Linked DNA regions of Drosophila melanogaster. The protein of the gene in region 3 interacts with the protein of the main gene of each other region in a pairwise test. Each region holds a gene or a part of one and is shown on either strand. Other genes may lie near its edges.

The links. Proteins that work in one complex are often made in the same cells at the same time.
Region 1: the proteins of CG8128 (region 3) and TBC1D23 interact in a two-hybrid assay, tested with the Drosophila melanogaster proteins (one large-scale study listed by BioGRID).
Region 2: the proteins of CG8128 (region 3) and CG31038 interact in a two-hybrid assay, tested with the Drosophila melanogaster proteins (one large-scale study listed by BioGRID).

What each region holds. Positions count from the first base shown.
Region 1 is NT_033779.5:1,127,170-1,132,917, reverse strand, and holds TBC1D23 (TBC1 domain family member 23), read right to left. Parts: upstream 3,603-5,748; 5' UTR 3,430-3,602; coding exon 3,413-3,429; intron 3,100-3,412; coding exon 1,737-3,099; intron 1,655-1,736; coding exon 965-1,654; 3' UTR 507-964; downstream 1-506. Other genes in the region: iris, read left to right, coding at 1-440; Pino (pinocchio), read left to right, coding at 4,573-4,789.
Region 2 is NT_033777.3:29,874,816-29,880,064, forward strand, and holds the start of CG31038 (uncharacterized protein), read left to right. Parts: upstream 1-2,243; 5' UTR 2,244-2,300; exon of another isoform or gene 2,301-3,111; 5' UTR 3,112-3,556; coding exon 3,557-4,995; intron 4,996-5,249.
Region 3 is NC_004354.4:15,695,980-15,700,847, forward strand, and holds CG8128 (uncharacterized protein), read left to right. Parts: upstream 1-1,514; 5' UTR 1,515-1,684; intron 1,685-2,053; exon of another isoform or gene 2,054-2,343; 5' UTR 2,344-2,541; coding exon 2,542-2,708; intron 2,709-2,780; coding exon 2,781-2,902; intron 2,903-3,182; coding exon 3,183-3,886; 3' UTR 3,887-4,055; downstream 4,056-4,868. Other genes in the region: CG9240 (uncharacterized protein), read right to left, coding at 4,427-4,828.

The DNA of each region.
Region 1 (5,748 bases), on a different chromosome or scaffold from region 3:
TGAATGGCAGTGGAATCCTGAGCATTCAAAGCGACTGTGCCGTGCGCAGTCCAGCTGTCGCCCTCCGTGGAGAAGTCCGGGAAAGAGTTCCTTCGAAAGCAGGTTACGCAACGCTGCAGAAGGAACCAAAATCTTCCCAGGAATCCGTGACCTTGGAATCATTTAATCAACTCCTGGCGATCGTGGGCAAACTGGAGCTGAATCAGAAAAAGCTGGAAGCAGTCCGAGATTACCCAATGGTAGTCGTAGTAGTAGTAGCTGTGTGCGCAGCCATATTGCTGGTCGCCTTACTTGTTTCGGCGACCTGGTTATATCGCACCCATCGGAGCAAACAACTTGCGCAGGCTCAAAATCTTGTCAACGAAGTCAATGGTCTCCAGGATCCACAGAATCGCACCACAACCTGCAATCTTCCGCTGCTGGAAAAACATGAAATCTAAAAAAAAAAGAAGATGCGGCTGCGTGGTGCATCTGTTAAGTTCCGATGAAATTTCAAAGAGAGCTATGATTTTTTAACAATTTTTTGTGTCGATTATAATACAGTTTTATTTGTTTGGTTTGATTGCAATAAATATTAGTTACTCTCATCATGTACACGTTGTAAGTCTCAGGGCTTCGGTAAGGGTTCCTTATTCGCACTTAGAAATTTAGAAAATTGGGATCGGGGGCGTGGCATGCTCGGGATGGCCATGTGATCTGGGACTACGTTCGACTATTTTCTTCAAATCCGGTCTCTGCACCGAGTGCACTATGTTACAATTGCAGCCAGCGCTTCGTTTACAATAAGAACTATACTATTTCAGCTAATACAAGGAAAACAATGCCAATTACAAACTATTACACCGCTCGCAGCGGCGCATTGCACTTTGTGTCTCTGATTTTTGTATCAGTGGCCGTTCATGAAATAAAGCTTGATGCGGAAAGGCGGAAACAAGAAGAGCATGCGGCGGTTGTCCGGTTTATCCTACTTGGCGTCGTCAAGCACCTGCACGATGAGCCTTGAAATCAGTGCCGTAACTTCGGCCGCATTTGGTATGAGGAAGCGGTCCATGTCGGTTATGAGCAGACCATCGCCATCGGGGAATCCGTACTTGAACGTGATGAGGTCGCGGTGTCGCTTCTTGGCCGTGATCTTCACGATGCTCGCCAGCGGGCGACGCACCATTATCTGCGCCTGGCCGCGTCCCAGTTCCCGCAGCACCACCAGTTGCCCGGGCGTGATGATCAAATGACTGTCGTACATGTAGCCGCTCATGTGCACCTCCTGGCACTTGAAGGCGTTGATGATGTCCGCCGTCTTGAAGTACTGGTTCAGATTCACGATCTCCTTGCCGTCGCTGGTCAGCGGTGCGTCATCCCGCTCCCCCGCCCCGTCCAAGGCATCCTCGTTCTCATCGTCGATGCTGAACACAGGTGCCACATTGCGGTAGCGCTTGCCGTTCCGCTCCTTTGCACTAACATGGCGCTCTTGCACCGGCGCCGATGGCACACCATTGGTGCCGCTAGCCGTGGCTCCGCCATTTGCACTGGGATTCACGATAATGTCTAGTAGTTTGCCCTTGACCTCGGCAGACTTTGACTTCATGGCGGCGGAGAACTTGCTGAATAGGTCTGTAGAGGATGGCGTCGAAGTCTTAAGCGGCGCTGATTTAGTCTGCAGGAGCGGAATTGAGAAATTATAAGTATACTAATTCGATTCAAAGTATTGTACATTTCCTGAGTTATCGAAGTCTTACCTGCTGCGCGTTGTGCTGCTGGCAGACGAGGCACTTGCGCGCATTGTGATCCTCCAGGCAATCGGCCATTTGATCGCCGAAGTAGTCGTGGATGGAGGCGTAGCCACCGGTCAGCAGCGACACGTAGTGGGTGTTCTTCTGCAGGAACGAGGCCACCACCATGTGTGTGTACTGGTCCTCTTCGACGCGACCGCTGCCCATGAAGCACAGATGCTCGCCGCCGGCGTTCGAGTTGGCCTCGATGGCCTGCCGCTGGGCGGTCAGGAGGCCCTGGACGGCGGTGGCAAAGGCGACAGGTTCCTGGAGCATGAGGTTGCAGTCCAGATGGAATGCCGTGGACAGGTGGCCGGCGTTGTATTGCTCGGCCGGGCGGCAGTCAACGAGAAAGAAACGCACTGCATCCGGCACAGGAAACTCTGTGGCCGAGTTCTCTACCAGCTCGTAAACGGAGACGGGCAGGCACAGGGCCTGTGATACCTTGTTTGCCTCCTCCTGGCTGCGCGGTGTATCATTCTGCTTGCCGTACAGCGCCTTCAGATAGTCCGTCTTGAAGGAAGTTGGTGTCTTGAGCGCGTAGTACTGGGCCAGGGAGCAAAAGTCGGGGACGTCGTCGAACTCCAGGGCGCACGGCATAAGGCTCAGGAACTTGATGATCTCCTCCTTGGACGAGCTCCTCATCTGCAGGATCTGCTCCCTGCCGTTGATCAAGATTATTAGCGCCAGGAAGAAGACCATGAAGGGATCGGCGTTCTGAAAGTACAGGTCCCACATGGCAATGATCACTGACAGGCTGCTGCAGGAGGCGAAAAGCGACTGGAACCAGGTCAGCGAGTACAAGTCGGGCGTGATCTTCTTGGTGTCCAGCAGCGTGCACAGCTCCGGATCGTGGTAAAGCAGGAGCAGTCGGAAGACATGAAAGACATTGCCCTTGGGCCGGCAACCCTTGGGTATGTACGTGTCTCGTATGGACTCGAACAGGTTGAATGTGTCGGAGCGATTCAGCTTCAGGGCGAACAGCGGGAGCAGCAATTCAATCCATCCGTTGTCCGGCTCATACTGAAGGTTTCTGTTCTTGCAGTAGAAGGTGATGATGGACTCGAGGTCGGATACCACCGAGACCTTGTCCTCCTCATCGTTGCCCATGCGATCGACGTGCCGCTGGCAATCCTCGCGCAGTTGGCTTTGGAAGGGCAGGTCGTAGATCTCGTTGAAGAGCGACATTTGATCCGATTTGTGGCGCACATCCAGGCACACTTGCCACACGTCCGGACGCAGTGCCTCCGGCAGAGCCTTGCCCTGGCATATGCCGTAGATGTCGTTGACAGTGCAGTCGTCCAGCAGTGCCGACTCCAGCTCAATGATCCTGCATACAAGAGAGGGATGTCCATCACAATCAGTTGCTTGGTACTTGTTCTGCTCATGCTACGGGTGAAGGGGACGTCAACGTGTCTAAATAACCAGCTGCTGATAAGGCGGAGCACCCACACCCCCAGGTGCTCCGCGTCCCGCTGGCCCAGCACCAAGCTGCTGACTCAATCAGCGAAACAAATGGTGGTCTGTTCGAGAAAGCCAAAGGCGATGGATGCCAAAGAAAATGAGGTGCTGGAGCTGAATCTCTAGACTCTCTGACTAATCTTAGTTGTTGACGTAGCCCCAACCCAATGTTTATTATTTACCACATATTCTCCTCCATGATTTCGCTGTGGGCTAGTTCCTACGTTTCGGATTCGAAATGCTGCCTTAGTGCAATCTATTCAGCTGCAGAAGGCCAGGCTGGTGCATTTTCTTTCTGTTCCAGGTGCGAATAATGATTTTTGTGATATTCCAAATTTATTTTGATCGAATTTTGGTTACGTTATGATGGTTACGTTTATAGCGATGGGAGGTGCTTACGTCTGCCACGGCGCACGTTAGAGATGGCAGTGTGCATATGAACTAACAATACAATTGTATTAAGATATTTGTAATAAATCGTTAAAAATGATTACAAACTTGATACTTGTCAGAATGCTAAAATTTGAGATAACAAATTAGAAAATAAATTTAAGTTATATTGTTATATATATATAAGGTTATTCAGCGGGATCTAAGCAAACTATCTATATTATTTTCATATTACAGGTATCAAAAGAGAATAGAAAATTTTAGTTTGTTCATTTGAACATTGAAGTTGAAATGCATAACGCTTTCTGTCCTATCGATTAGTGTTGCCAACTACGATAATCGACAGCTGACCACCTCTAGTTGCCAGCAATTTTGCAAGCAAAGTTTTGTTTTGCCTGAATTTTATCCAAATTTAACTTAAAATTCGGTTGCGTTGGCCTAAATTTGGATACTTAACTTCAAGCTGGTCGACTGAGCGTGCTGCTAGTATAAAGGTGAGTGAGCTTAGAGGCCAGCACACGTAACACAGATTTTAGGCATTTCCATGCAAACACACATGTATGGAGACCAAACAAAATTTGCAAAAGCAATAACAGCAACAAATACACGAAGCGAATGCAATTGCTCACTCATGCATGCAAACACACACTCACACACATGTAGCCTTCACCCAAATAAAATTTAGCTTGCATCTATTGATTTGCATGTTGCACTTGTGCAAAGAAGTGTTGTAAGAAGTGCGGGGAGGGGTAAGCGTGCAACAGCTGTGTGCCTGCTCCCCTCCCCCTTGACTGTGTTATCAACCACCCCCCCACCCCCCTTTATCCAAACACTTGGCCAATCAACACAAGCTGCGCTTTAAGCCACGTGTGTACTTTTTGCTGTTTGCATGCCAGCACGTATCTGCTTAGCCAAGGAATCCTCTAATTGCGTTTCTCTTACCCTTATGGAGATGAAAACGGGCAGCAACAACAACCACATCTCCGCCAGCAGCAGCAGCAGCAACAACAACAACAACAGCTCATTGGTGCAACAGCAGCAGCAACGCTCCACCACTTCCGTTTCCGTCTCCTCGTCTCACATTGTCACCGAGTGGGAGGATGGCATCATTTTCGATGTGGACGATCCCGACTTTTGCAATCTGGCCACCGACAAGCTGAACTTCATAGGTGAGTGCGCCATAGCGAGTTCGTACATATAATTAGCCACCCGATTATATTTATAGTCTAGACATCGGAGTAATCTATGTTATTTACGATTAGCCGTAGCGAAGCCCACTAATTGAGCAGCGGAAAACGCTAGTCGCACCTTTGTACTAGCTGCATCGGCTTATCGCCAAGTGGTTTTCCCGTCTCTTGGAGTCCCGGCTTTTGTCCGATCGGGCGGAAACTGCCGTACACTTTTATTAATGCCCATACACTCCGGCTTTATCTTCGAATGGCATTGATAGTGGGTCGGTCGCCTATAAGCAGGGGCCATCAATTTTACAATCCCGGAATAGCCAACACTCTGTCTTCCCCAAAGAGTTCCATTTAAAATTAGTACCATTCCGTGCTGTTTTTAGCACGTACCCGTACGCATCCCACGAAAATTGGCCGATCCATCAATTACCATTCGAAATGGATGAGAGAGTGGGCTCCCAGTGGGGCTAATTGTTTTGCCCGTTTGCCCGTTTATCTGCCATCTGATTAGACGTACAAGCGGGTCGTGCGACTAGCCTATTCACACGTTTCGCTTGTCACCCAGAACTCAGAACGCCCAATTCACGCGTTTGTCATGTGACTGCGGATCGGATCGAAGCGAATCGGACAAGCCTCTCCAGCCGATCATGCCTCTCCTTCGCTTCATCGGCTGCGGAATGGGTGCCAAAAGAGTGTGCAAACATTTCCGATGGCCCGGCAGTTCAAGTGGAATTTTTCCCCAATTTTGGTAAACAATAACATTGCCGGCTTATGCGTGCTAGCGTGAGCTGTTTTTTGCATGCATATTGCCCCACCGACAACCGGCACGTGTCGCCCATAAAAGGCTTCTGTGGAGCAGGGCTTATGGAGCCAAACTTGCGTGTGAGCCGCCCACCATGAGAGTTGCAAATGAACTCCCTTATCCGGTCTTAAGTGGGCCAGTTAAT
Region 2 (5,249 bases), on a different chromosome or scaffold from region 3:
TTAACGCTGAGTGTGTGAATATGTGTATAGATATTTGTTTAACAAGTTGATTATTTCGAAAGTCAATTGTATATTGTTATGCCCTTGTAAGTTACATTTTGACTGTACAGATGCTTTGATTTCGTTACTCTCGATTACAATTAAATCTGTCCGTCTGGCCATTAACCTCTTTGATATGTAATCTAGTTAGAAATGTACTGCTGGCCAACCTGCAAGGGTACGAGCGAATCGGTGGGCCGAATCGAAATAAGTTATTTTATCGCCTAAAGTCTTAACCTAACTAACCTATTATAATTAACTTTTAAATGATATATATTTTGTGTAAAGTAAATATGTGCAACCAGGACGCTAAATGTAACTTTAATTCTACCAACGAAACTTACGTTGGCGGGGGTTTGGTTTTGAAGTGCTTCCGGATTAGAGTACGTCTAAACATTCATTCCTCCAGCCAGGCATGGTATTTAGCAAAGCTTAACCTTCATATTTGGGGCTTCCTGAGGTGCGAGCTGGTTGAAAGTTAAGTAGCTGGCAAAGTAAACAGGCGGTTGTAATTCTATACTGATACTGCAGACATTCGTAAATCTTAGGTATTATAATTCCGGGAAGGGATGACGTATAGATAATTAATGAGGGAGCAAGTGAAATGCAAGACTTGAGTGGAACAGCCTTCGGTTTGAATGGTTTGACTCCCTTTGACTGCCTTTTTGCCGTCCCGCCTGATTTGCATAGTTTGGGGCTGACCGTCTACTCGCTCAATAATGAATGCGTCAGTTTCAAATGGCATTACCCCCGAAAACGAAGTTGATAGTCTGCGACAAGTAGTATGTGCAATGCTATGTGGCACCATAAATAACGTGGCCATTCTAGTGTCGCATTCTGGGTCCTTTTGCTTAGCAATGACAATAGTAAAAGTGCTGAAAGGGAAGCACGATTAGAGCTATTACTTACACTGGCTATGTTTATGTTTTTATATGTACTGTATGCATTCATGGCGCAGCAATTCTGCAAAATTTCTGCATATTTGTTAGGGTGGACCTGAGTTGTACTCATGAGTACTCATACAAATCACTCATACGTAGTGTGGACCTTTTCATTTGATTTTCACAAGGAAAGGCATGTCAGTATCCAAAAGCAATATTAAGTAAAATAAATGTCCTGGTTGGGATCTTACTTTCTCCATAAAAATAAAGTCATGGGATGTTTCCGAAAGAGGAATCGTGTTAGGAATCTATGTTAGCTTGCCTAACAGGTCGTATGAGTAATTTATTAAACGCTTGGCTTTCTTGTTATATCTGATCATTAACTTGTATATAGGCTATGATTCCCCATGAAAGTCCACCCTACGGCACGTACTCCGGTACTTGCACAGGCAATCAATAAAGATTTTTTTTTGGGGAGTTCGGGTGGCGGGTGCTTTGTCGCGATGCGGCAACAACAGCTGTTGCAACGCCAGACGACCCCCCAAAAAAAGGAAAACCGAGCAGCAGCCAGACGCCGGCAACCGGGGAACCTCATCATCGTCATCGTACTCCAGCACCACCCGTTTCAAGAAGCAATCAATGCACTTCTGGCCATGTGCCAAGTTTCTCTTCCGAAAACCTGGAGAGGAGCAGAGAATCGGCCAAAAGAGAGGAGCAGCGGTGTATAAGAGCTGGTTGGGTTCCATTCGGTTGCGGTTGAAAAGCTAAAGTTAATTTAAAGTTCAACCCGTTTGGTTTCTAACTTTTCGGAACTTTAACCGTGTATTTTGGGTTTGGTTTATATAGTTTGGTACAGTAGTAAAAGATACGAAACATTTGCGTTGAAATCAATTTCAAATTGTTGTTTAATTAAGAAGCCAAGTTCCTTATTTACGTAGGTGCTCACAGTGGAATATAAGAAATAATTGTTCCTAAAATAATCCTTTGTACACGAATACAAGAACTTACTCAATAGTTTAAAATGCTTACCTATATTTTTGTAACGAAATATAATTCATTTTACATACAAATAAAAATAAACCGAATTTATTTGCATTCAGCTTGGTAAATAATAGAGTAACTGCGTGACTGCATGCGATGCAAAATTATCTTTGAAGTGCAGACTTTTCGAGTTGTGCCGCGTCACTCGTTTACCCAAGGCACCCACACTGTCGCACTCGCAGACACACACACACACGCATACCAGTGCGGCCGTGTAGCAACAACAATGTTGAGCAAGGTGCGCTGAGCCTCGCTCTTTCGAATCTTTCTCTCCGTTTCGGTTTCAGTTCACTTCTGGCTCTCGTGCAAAGCGCATCGTACAGCGGATATATCGCATCTGTATCGTATCGTAAAACGAATCGTATTCGCATCCGTGTCGGTCGCATCTGCGTGCTAGTGTGTGTGAGTGTGCCCGGGTGTGTGCGAGTTGGTGTGTCCGCTGCAATGGTCTTGGCTATTTGAAGCGCAAAAGTGCAGTATTTACTGTTTGGTGATTCACTCAATCATTAGAATACCCAAGAGATAACTATCATATCTTGGGGTTTTCCCAACGAACCGATCCGATAAAATGGAAACCCTGTAAACTCATGCTCCCCCGCCTTAAAAATCGGTTCAGTGATTTACGTGTGGGTGTGGGTGCAGTGCTTAAATTATACACGTAAAATTTAAACAAATAAAGGCTGTTAAAAAATCGTAAACTCGAGATCCAGCTAGTGCCGAATTCAGTGCTAAAGTGAAACTTCTTTGTGCAAACAACAAAAACCGTTAATTGCCAGCGCCATTCTTTTAAAGGCCCCGACTTATAAAGAGTGTTTTCAGTGCCTATATGGTTTTACTTAAGTCTTTTGTTTATCGTTGTACCCATATTGTTTTCAGTTTATCAATATATAGATAATTATCTAAATGGAGGAGCTTTGTTAATTGATATAACAAGCCTTAAGCGTTAATGTTCCCATCTCATAGGTCCAAGTCAGAAAACCAATCCCCTTTCACTTTAAACAGATCAGAATCCAAGGATTAGGTCGCTTATTCTTTTTCCAAACTAATGAACAATTAAATGGCACGGCGTTGTTGGTCGCAAAGTTTCCATTGCCCGATGCAGAGACCCAAAACCAAAATAAACGGAACCCTTTCACTTTAAAATCCACAGAACCCCAAAGATCGAAAACGAGTTTCGCAAAAGAGCAAAGAGCCGAGCGGCGGCCATGCTTATATTCCATATCGAATAACTGAATAGCCGACCAATAAAGTGTTACTTGGCACATCCAACATCCAACGTTCAACTAGCAATCCAACTTACAATATCCAGCATCCAACTAGCTCCGTTGCATTGGCCTATATTCAAAATAGATCAGAGATCGACTCGAGAGACCGGAGGAGATGTGGATGAGGTGGTGACGAGGAGCTGCGGAGGAGATCGCCATGTGAGAAGAGCAAAACTAGTTTCCCATTTGCGCGCTTATGCTAAGTAATAATAATAAATAAGCGCAGTAGTCTCTGGCTTGCCGTTCGAGAAGTGACCTAAAAATACTGGTTTCGAGTGCGGTTTTGGCGTGAGAACGTGTAGCACAGCGAAGGCACCACCACCACCACCAATGGCCACCACAGCCGCCGGATCAGCAGCCACCACCACCAACACGATGGTGGTGAAGCGGCCAGGACCACCAGTGCCGCCCAGGCCCAAAGCAGCAGCTCAGCTGGCCAATGGAGCAGGAGCCCCTCCGATCATTCAGAAGAAGCCCACCTTCGTGAGCCAGCTGAGTGCAGTGGGTCGTACCTTGGTCTACAAGTCGCCAACGGTCAATCTGCCCAAGAAACAGGCCCAGACCCAGACGCCCACCACGGCGGTGCCAACGCCGCCGGTGAAGCCCCTGAAGCTGCGCAAGGCACCGGATGTGCCCACGGCCAAGCCCAGGGATTCAATGACCTCGGTGGTCACGGTCAACCGGCATAACTCGATAAGCGTGATCGGGAGCACGCCACAGACCACACCCCGCAAGGACACCCGCTTGAGCCTGGGAAAGGTGGACTTCGAGAGGGCGGGCCTCCAGCCGGCCAGTCAGCCACTTCCCAGGCCACGGAAAATTGTTCAAGTGCCCGTGGCCACTCTAGATGTGGAAGACATACCAGTGGTGGCTCCCAGCCCATCATCAAATGGACTCTTCAGGCGATCAAAGACCACCCTGGATGGCAGCCAGAAGGATTCGGCATCCTCCCCGCACAATGGAGGAGGATTCCTGTCCGGACGGACCGTGGAGATCAAGAATAATCTGAAGAACGCCGCCGAGCGTTTGTTCTCGGAGATAATCATCAACCAGAGCCAGAAACAGGCAGCCACCGACACCACCATCATAACCAAGCACGAGGCCCTGAAGCAGGAGTCCGATGTCCTGGCCATCCAGTCATCGGGCAACTGCATGAGGATCAATGTTAACGGCGGCCAGACGAGCACCATGAAGAGCTCGATCAGCGTGGGCAACACGCCGCAAAAGAAGCAAGCCTTCCACGAGATGCTCATCTCGGAGCTGGCTGCCATGCGGAACAAGTCCTGCTCCCTGGAGCAGCTACCCACCGCCAAGTCGCCGCCACCCACCACTTCCACGCCCAAAAGCGTGGCATCTCGCAGGCGCTACAACTCTATAGATGATGCCGACACCGAGGATGTGGATGCGGACAACGTGGAGGATGCCGATGGTGACGTCGACGAGGAGGACACCCTCACCTACGCAGTCAATAAATCGCTGAAGGAGAACATTGGCAAGGAGGGCTCGTCCTCGAGGAAGCGCTGCCCCTCGGGCTGCTCCACAGACTCCTCGCCCTACGGAACCGAGCGATCCCAGCGCATCCGCACCTCGGATTGGATCGAGGTGGGCGACAACGGCACGGCAGTTACTCTGACTAGCTGCCACATCAGCCTGGAGGACTCGGGCATGGAGGACGAGGAGCGGCTGGACGACATGTCCTCGGGAGTGGGCGACAGCTGGGACAGCGTCAAGGAGGCCGAGAGCGAGAAGCGTTCTCGCAACGGAAAGCGGTGAGTCTCGAAACTATTACTATAATTAAAATTATATCTAGTAAGTGCATCTAATGAGATTCGTTGATAATGAAGGAACAGATAGTTTTAGCATCCATAAATGAAGCTATAACATTATTTATTGCTATTGCCGTTCATTAAACGTTAATGAGTATGGAAATTAGCTGTTTGCCGAGGGAAAACAAAATCTTGACCATCAATTGAAGATCTTTAAAAACGGCCCCATACGTTGGAGGTCGTAATAGTTTCGAGCT
Region 3 (4,868 bases):
CTGGAGAGGGGTAACTTTTTTATGTACTCCCTCTTCGCATATTTTTTTTTTTTTGGGAATTTCCCCCCCAAAAAACAAAAAGAAATTGAAAATTGCTAAGCCGGCAATCAAAATACAAACATCAGGCGAAACTCAACGAGTACCATTGTTGTCCAACTGAAGCACCTGAATTTATGGCACAAGGACATACCACCACACACACACACACACACCTCCCCCCCCCACACACACACAACTACCACCCCCCTGGTGAGTCACGGTTTAAATGTGCATTTCGCAACACATTTACGATCCTTTCTACTCGTAATCCCTTCAATCGCGCTCTAAACTGCTAACTGGTTCCTGATTCCCCAGGATTCCTGGTCGCTGGCGCTTTGTTGCTCTAAATAGCCCTTTCCAAATCACTGGACTCGCACAAAGGACTCGCCCTCAATTGCGCAACTATTTCGATTTCAAAAAAAAAAAATCAAATTAAATAAAATAAAATAAGTGAAGAGGAGAGAAATGGGCCAAACTGGGCGCGCAGCCAAAGAGGATATTTAGTTATATATGAAAATAAAGTTTCAAAGGATCTCAACTATAGAATTTGAAGGCACCTATTGGCCTATTAAAACGATTTATACAGATATGTTTCTTTTCGTATTCAAGTAAAGTAAAAAGGCGAAAAAATTAAAAATGGAACAGTAGCTCCAAGATGACCAACGATGACGGTCAAGAGACGGATGCGGGCTCCACAGTCCAAGAAGGTGATATCGTTCTTCAAGAATCATCGCCGCATGCTCCGCAGGCAGGGCATCGAGGATCTGCTGCATCTGGCCGAACGTGGCCACGTCGAACCGATTAGAGATAGAGACTAGGAGATCGGCATCGAATGCTACATATACGGTATTTATTCCACATTTCCATTCAAATTTGAAAAGCTTAGTTTAAGTTCTAGGATTATTGAATTCCTCTTGCATTTAAATATTTTGTAGTCTACTTTTAGCCGTCTTTAAGAACGACTTCAACCCTCTGCTAATCAGAATGTTAATTCTAAAGCTGGTCGCATTTCTTATTAGAATAGCGTTAGATGTTTTGCGTACTCATCAAAAATTTCCCAATTGAATTAATCATTACTTATGCTACTACTTATGCAGCATTGTCCTTCCTGGCATTGACTGTGACTATTACTATATTATTGTAGGAAGGACTGCACGCATACCAAGAGCGCGATAAATAGCGATGACAGCAGCGAATTTTCCCGCAACGAAGCCGACGACCAGCGAACTTAAGCTCTTTTGGCCATCTAAAGGATGGAAACATTCGATATATTAGCCAAGCCGCTAGCCAGTAACTTATATAACCCATATTAGCTATTTCAAGATTTAATAAATTGTTCCGGAGGCCATATATTTAAAAAATGTTGGTTTGCTCATATTTGATTTTTAACCATTACATATAAGGCTGAACAGCTTTTTCTAGCCAGGCTGGCAGCACTGCCGGATCAGCTGACTGACTTTTCTGTGTGCGCGCCATCCCTAGAAATTAACGTGCTAGTGGAAGTGGAAGCGAATTGAAATCGCGCGCTGCTCTATTCGCTTGTTTATGCCAAAGTCCATGGCTACATTGGATCGGATCTGTAATTAGTCGTCTGGAGGAACTGGACGGATTGGCTCAGTGACACCATTAGCCATTGACTTTTCTAGTGAGTTCGAGTTCCACACAATGTTCTATTCTAGCGCAGATATGGAATAAAAAAAAATATATTTGGCTTGGTTTGTTATGTAAAACGCGTATCAATTCTCTGGCGCGTTGATAACAGCAGCAATTCAGTTGATAAACAAACACAAAACCCATGCGGAAACAATTGAAACGACCCCACACCCCAACACCGCCACCCACCACCCACACGCACCTTGGGTTGTCGCTCAAGGTTGCGCTAGAGATGAGCAGGAAGCAGTGACTGCTATCGTGATTGCCATTAATATTAGTATTAGTATTAGTATAGTGATAACACAGTTTTTTATATATATGTACATATATAGTGATACTTTCAGTTGAATCTATATTTTAGTTTCATTATACTCATGTCACCGGTTTTCTGTCAAAGTCACACTGTTCTGCGCATCTCTATCGCCACTATTTGTTACTGACGTTAGCGCCAAATTCGAAATGTCAAGAACAGAAATCCGAACGTAACAGCGGCCATATCGCTTATCTAGCGACGGCGGCAGATAGTGGCAACCTGCTCCTCCGTCTCGCTCTGCTCCGCCCATCGCAGCAGATTTGCATCGTTGTTTGGAGCCATGCGGCTATTTCACCTCTTTCACCTGTCTGTTTGCCTCGTTTCACACACACACACAGCATGCCCAGGAATTGGCTTCACCTCGCATTGTGGATAAACTGAGACGGTAAAGTCGTTGTCGCCGCCACCGCCTCCGCCACGCCCACCAAGCGGACAGCACCCAGATCTCCGGTTGCGAACTAGTAGTGACGCCAACGTGGTCGATCGCCGTCGTCGTCATCAACAACGTTGTGTTCGTCGAACTGTGAGATTATTTAATGTTGGCCACCGGTTTTCTGGCTCGCAGAACCGTACTTAACCAGCCGGCGTTCAATTCATGGAGCACACTCCTCCGGACCGCTAGAAAACGACCCACATCCACGGTTGCCGCCAGAGTTCCATTAAAGCTTCAGTCACAGCAGCAATTTACAAGAGCATACTCGTCGTAAGAATTGAAAGATGTACATACATATGTATTTAACACATGATTGAAAACTATTTGTATCCCACGATTTAGCTCCAAAACCATGGACACGCCGGCGGATGTATTCCGCGGCATTACGGATCGATTTGCCGGAGTAACAGTCGATGGGCGCGAGGAGAACGTGGACAAATCCAGTTTCCGGGACAAGCTCACAAGTAAGAATATATATCTTAAAATATGTCGGTATCTTTGCCTGGACGTATATTTTTTGTATCATTGTATCTTCTAAGTCTTCGTGCTATCATAAGTTGATTAAAAGTTTATCTATCTAAAGTTGGGGTACTAAATTAAATTTCCAAAATCATTGCTCTCCACTTTTATCAATTTAAAAGTTGTCTATGACTATAAATAGTCATAGACAATAAACGGCTTATAATTTTAATTAAATCTGTGTCACCAATTACCAAATTATATTAATAACGAAATACCTTTTAGAATCCCTGGACTTTTGGACGACGAACAAGAACCGGGCCATTTGGTTCCGCGTGTACAAGGAGCAGGCTGATTGGGTGCCCATTCTGGCGGAGAACGGCTTTGATTTCCATCATGCCAAGACCGGTGTGGTGGTCATGTACCGCTGGTTGCCGGAGCACGAGTCTAGCAACCTACCCACCTACGCCCACACGCTAATGGGCGTCGGCGGACTGGTTATCAACGAACAGGACGAGGTGCTGGTGGTGTCCGATCGTTTTGCAATGATACCAAACAGCTGGAAGCTGCCCGGCGGCTATGTGGAGCCGCGGGAGAATCTCATCGATGCGGCAATACGAGAGGTGGCCGAGGAGACGGGAATCCGCACCGAATTCCGCTCAGTGGTCAGTCTGCGGCATGCCCATGGCGGCACCTTCGGCTGCTCCGACATGTACGTGGTCATCGCCCTAAAGCCACTGAATTTGGACTTTACGCGCTGCGAACGCGAGATAGCGCGCATCCAGTGGATGCCCATCGCGGAGTATCTGAAGCATCCGCAGGTCCACGAGACGAACAGGCAGTTCGTCTGCACCTTTTTGGACTACCAGAAGCGCGGCCTGACCCTCACCTGTCGCGACGAAGTGCATCAGGTGCTAAAGAAGAAATACAATCTGTATTACGTGGATCGGGAGCAGCCACAGGAGCAGCAGGATAAAAAGAATTCGTGAGACTTGTCGGTGCAATGGCCAAATCCTTAGTGCAATTTTTATAAAGTCCTTTCTTCCAAAAGCCAGCAGCATCACAACTGCGCATTCAAATGTTCACAATGTAGTCAATAAATGAATTTTTTTGTATATAATTATATGCATATATCAATTAAAGCTCACACAGCCTTTTACAAAAGCTTTTCTTTTGATACCATTTTTAGAAACGCCAATAATTTAAAATATGGCATTATTTTGAATATGACGCCCAAACATGGTAAATACTTCCTTAGAAGGTAAGCCAATAAGGATTAAGGATGTAAGCTTCATACTTTGAAAAATATGTTTATTAAAAACAAAAATGAAAAGAAATTATTATTCTCTCCTGTTTTTTTCAACTTATTTTCAATGATATGCAAAAACCAGAAGTCGCACAAATGAGACGAAACTCGCATACGTAATGATTCTAAAAAGTTGTGGTTTGATGTACTATAATTTCCAAACGAAACATAGGCCATTTATTGGGTCAAGTTGATTTTAAACTCTTTGTTGTACGAATGCCATCTATAGACCCGTGGCCTCGGATATCGGCCAGATGCGGCAGAGCACGCGGCTCCGGATGAGGCCCACCGGAATGGGTCCGTAGTAGCGGGAATCCGAGCTGTTTCCCTTGTTGTCACCCTCAATCCAAACGTGTCCGCGCGGCACATAGTCCTTGACCATCACGGGCTTCTTCTTGTCATCCGAATTACCACTAAACTCCGCCTCAATGGGAATGGGCTTCTGGATTAGCACCTGATCACCGGAAACGGCCACGATACGCTTGCAAATGAACTGATCGGCTTTGATGGGCGATATGGCGATGACTATGTCGCCGGGCTGGTAGGTTCGCCAGTGTTTCGACAAGCGCTCGGTGAGAAGAACGTTGTCCGAGTGCAGGGTGGGCTCCATGGAGGGTCCTTTGCACTGGAAATGGTTGCATTAATGTGAGTGTACGTACTTTTCC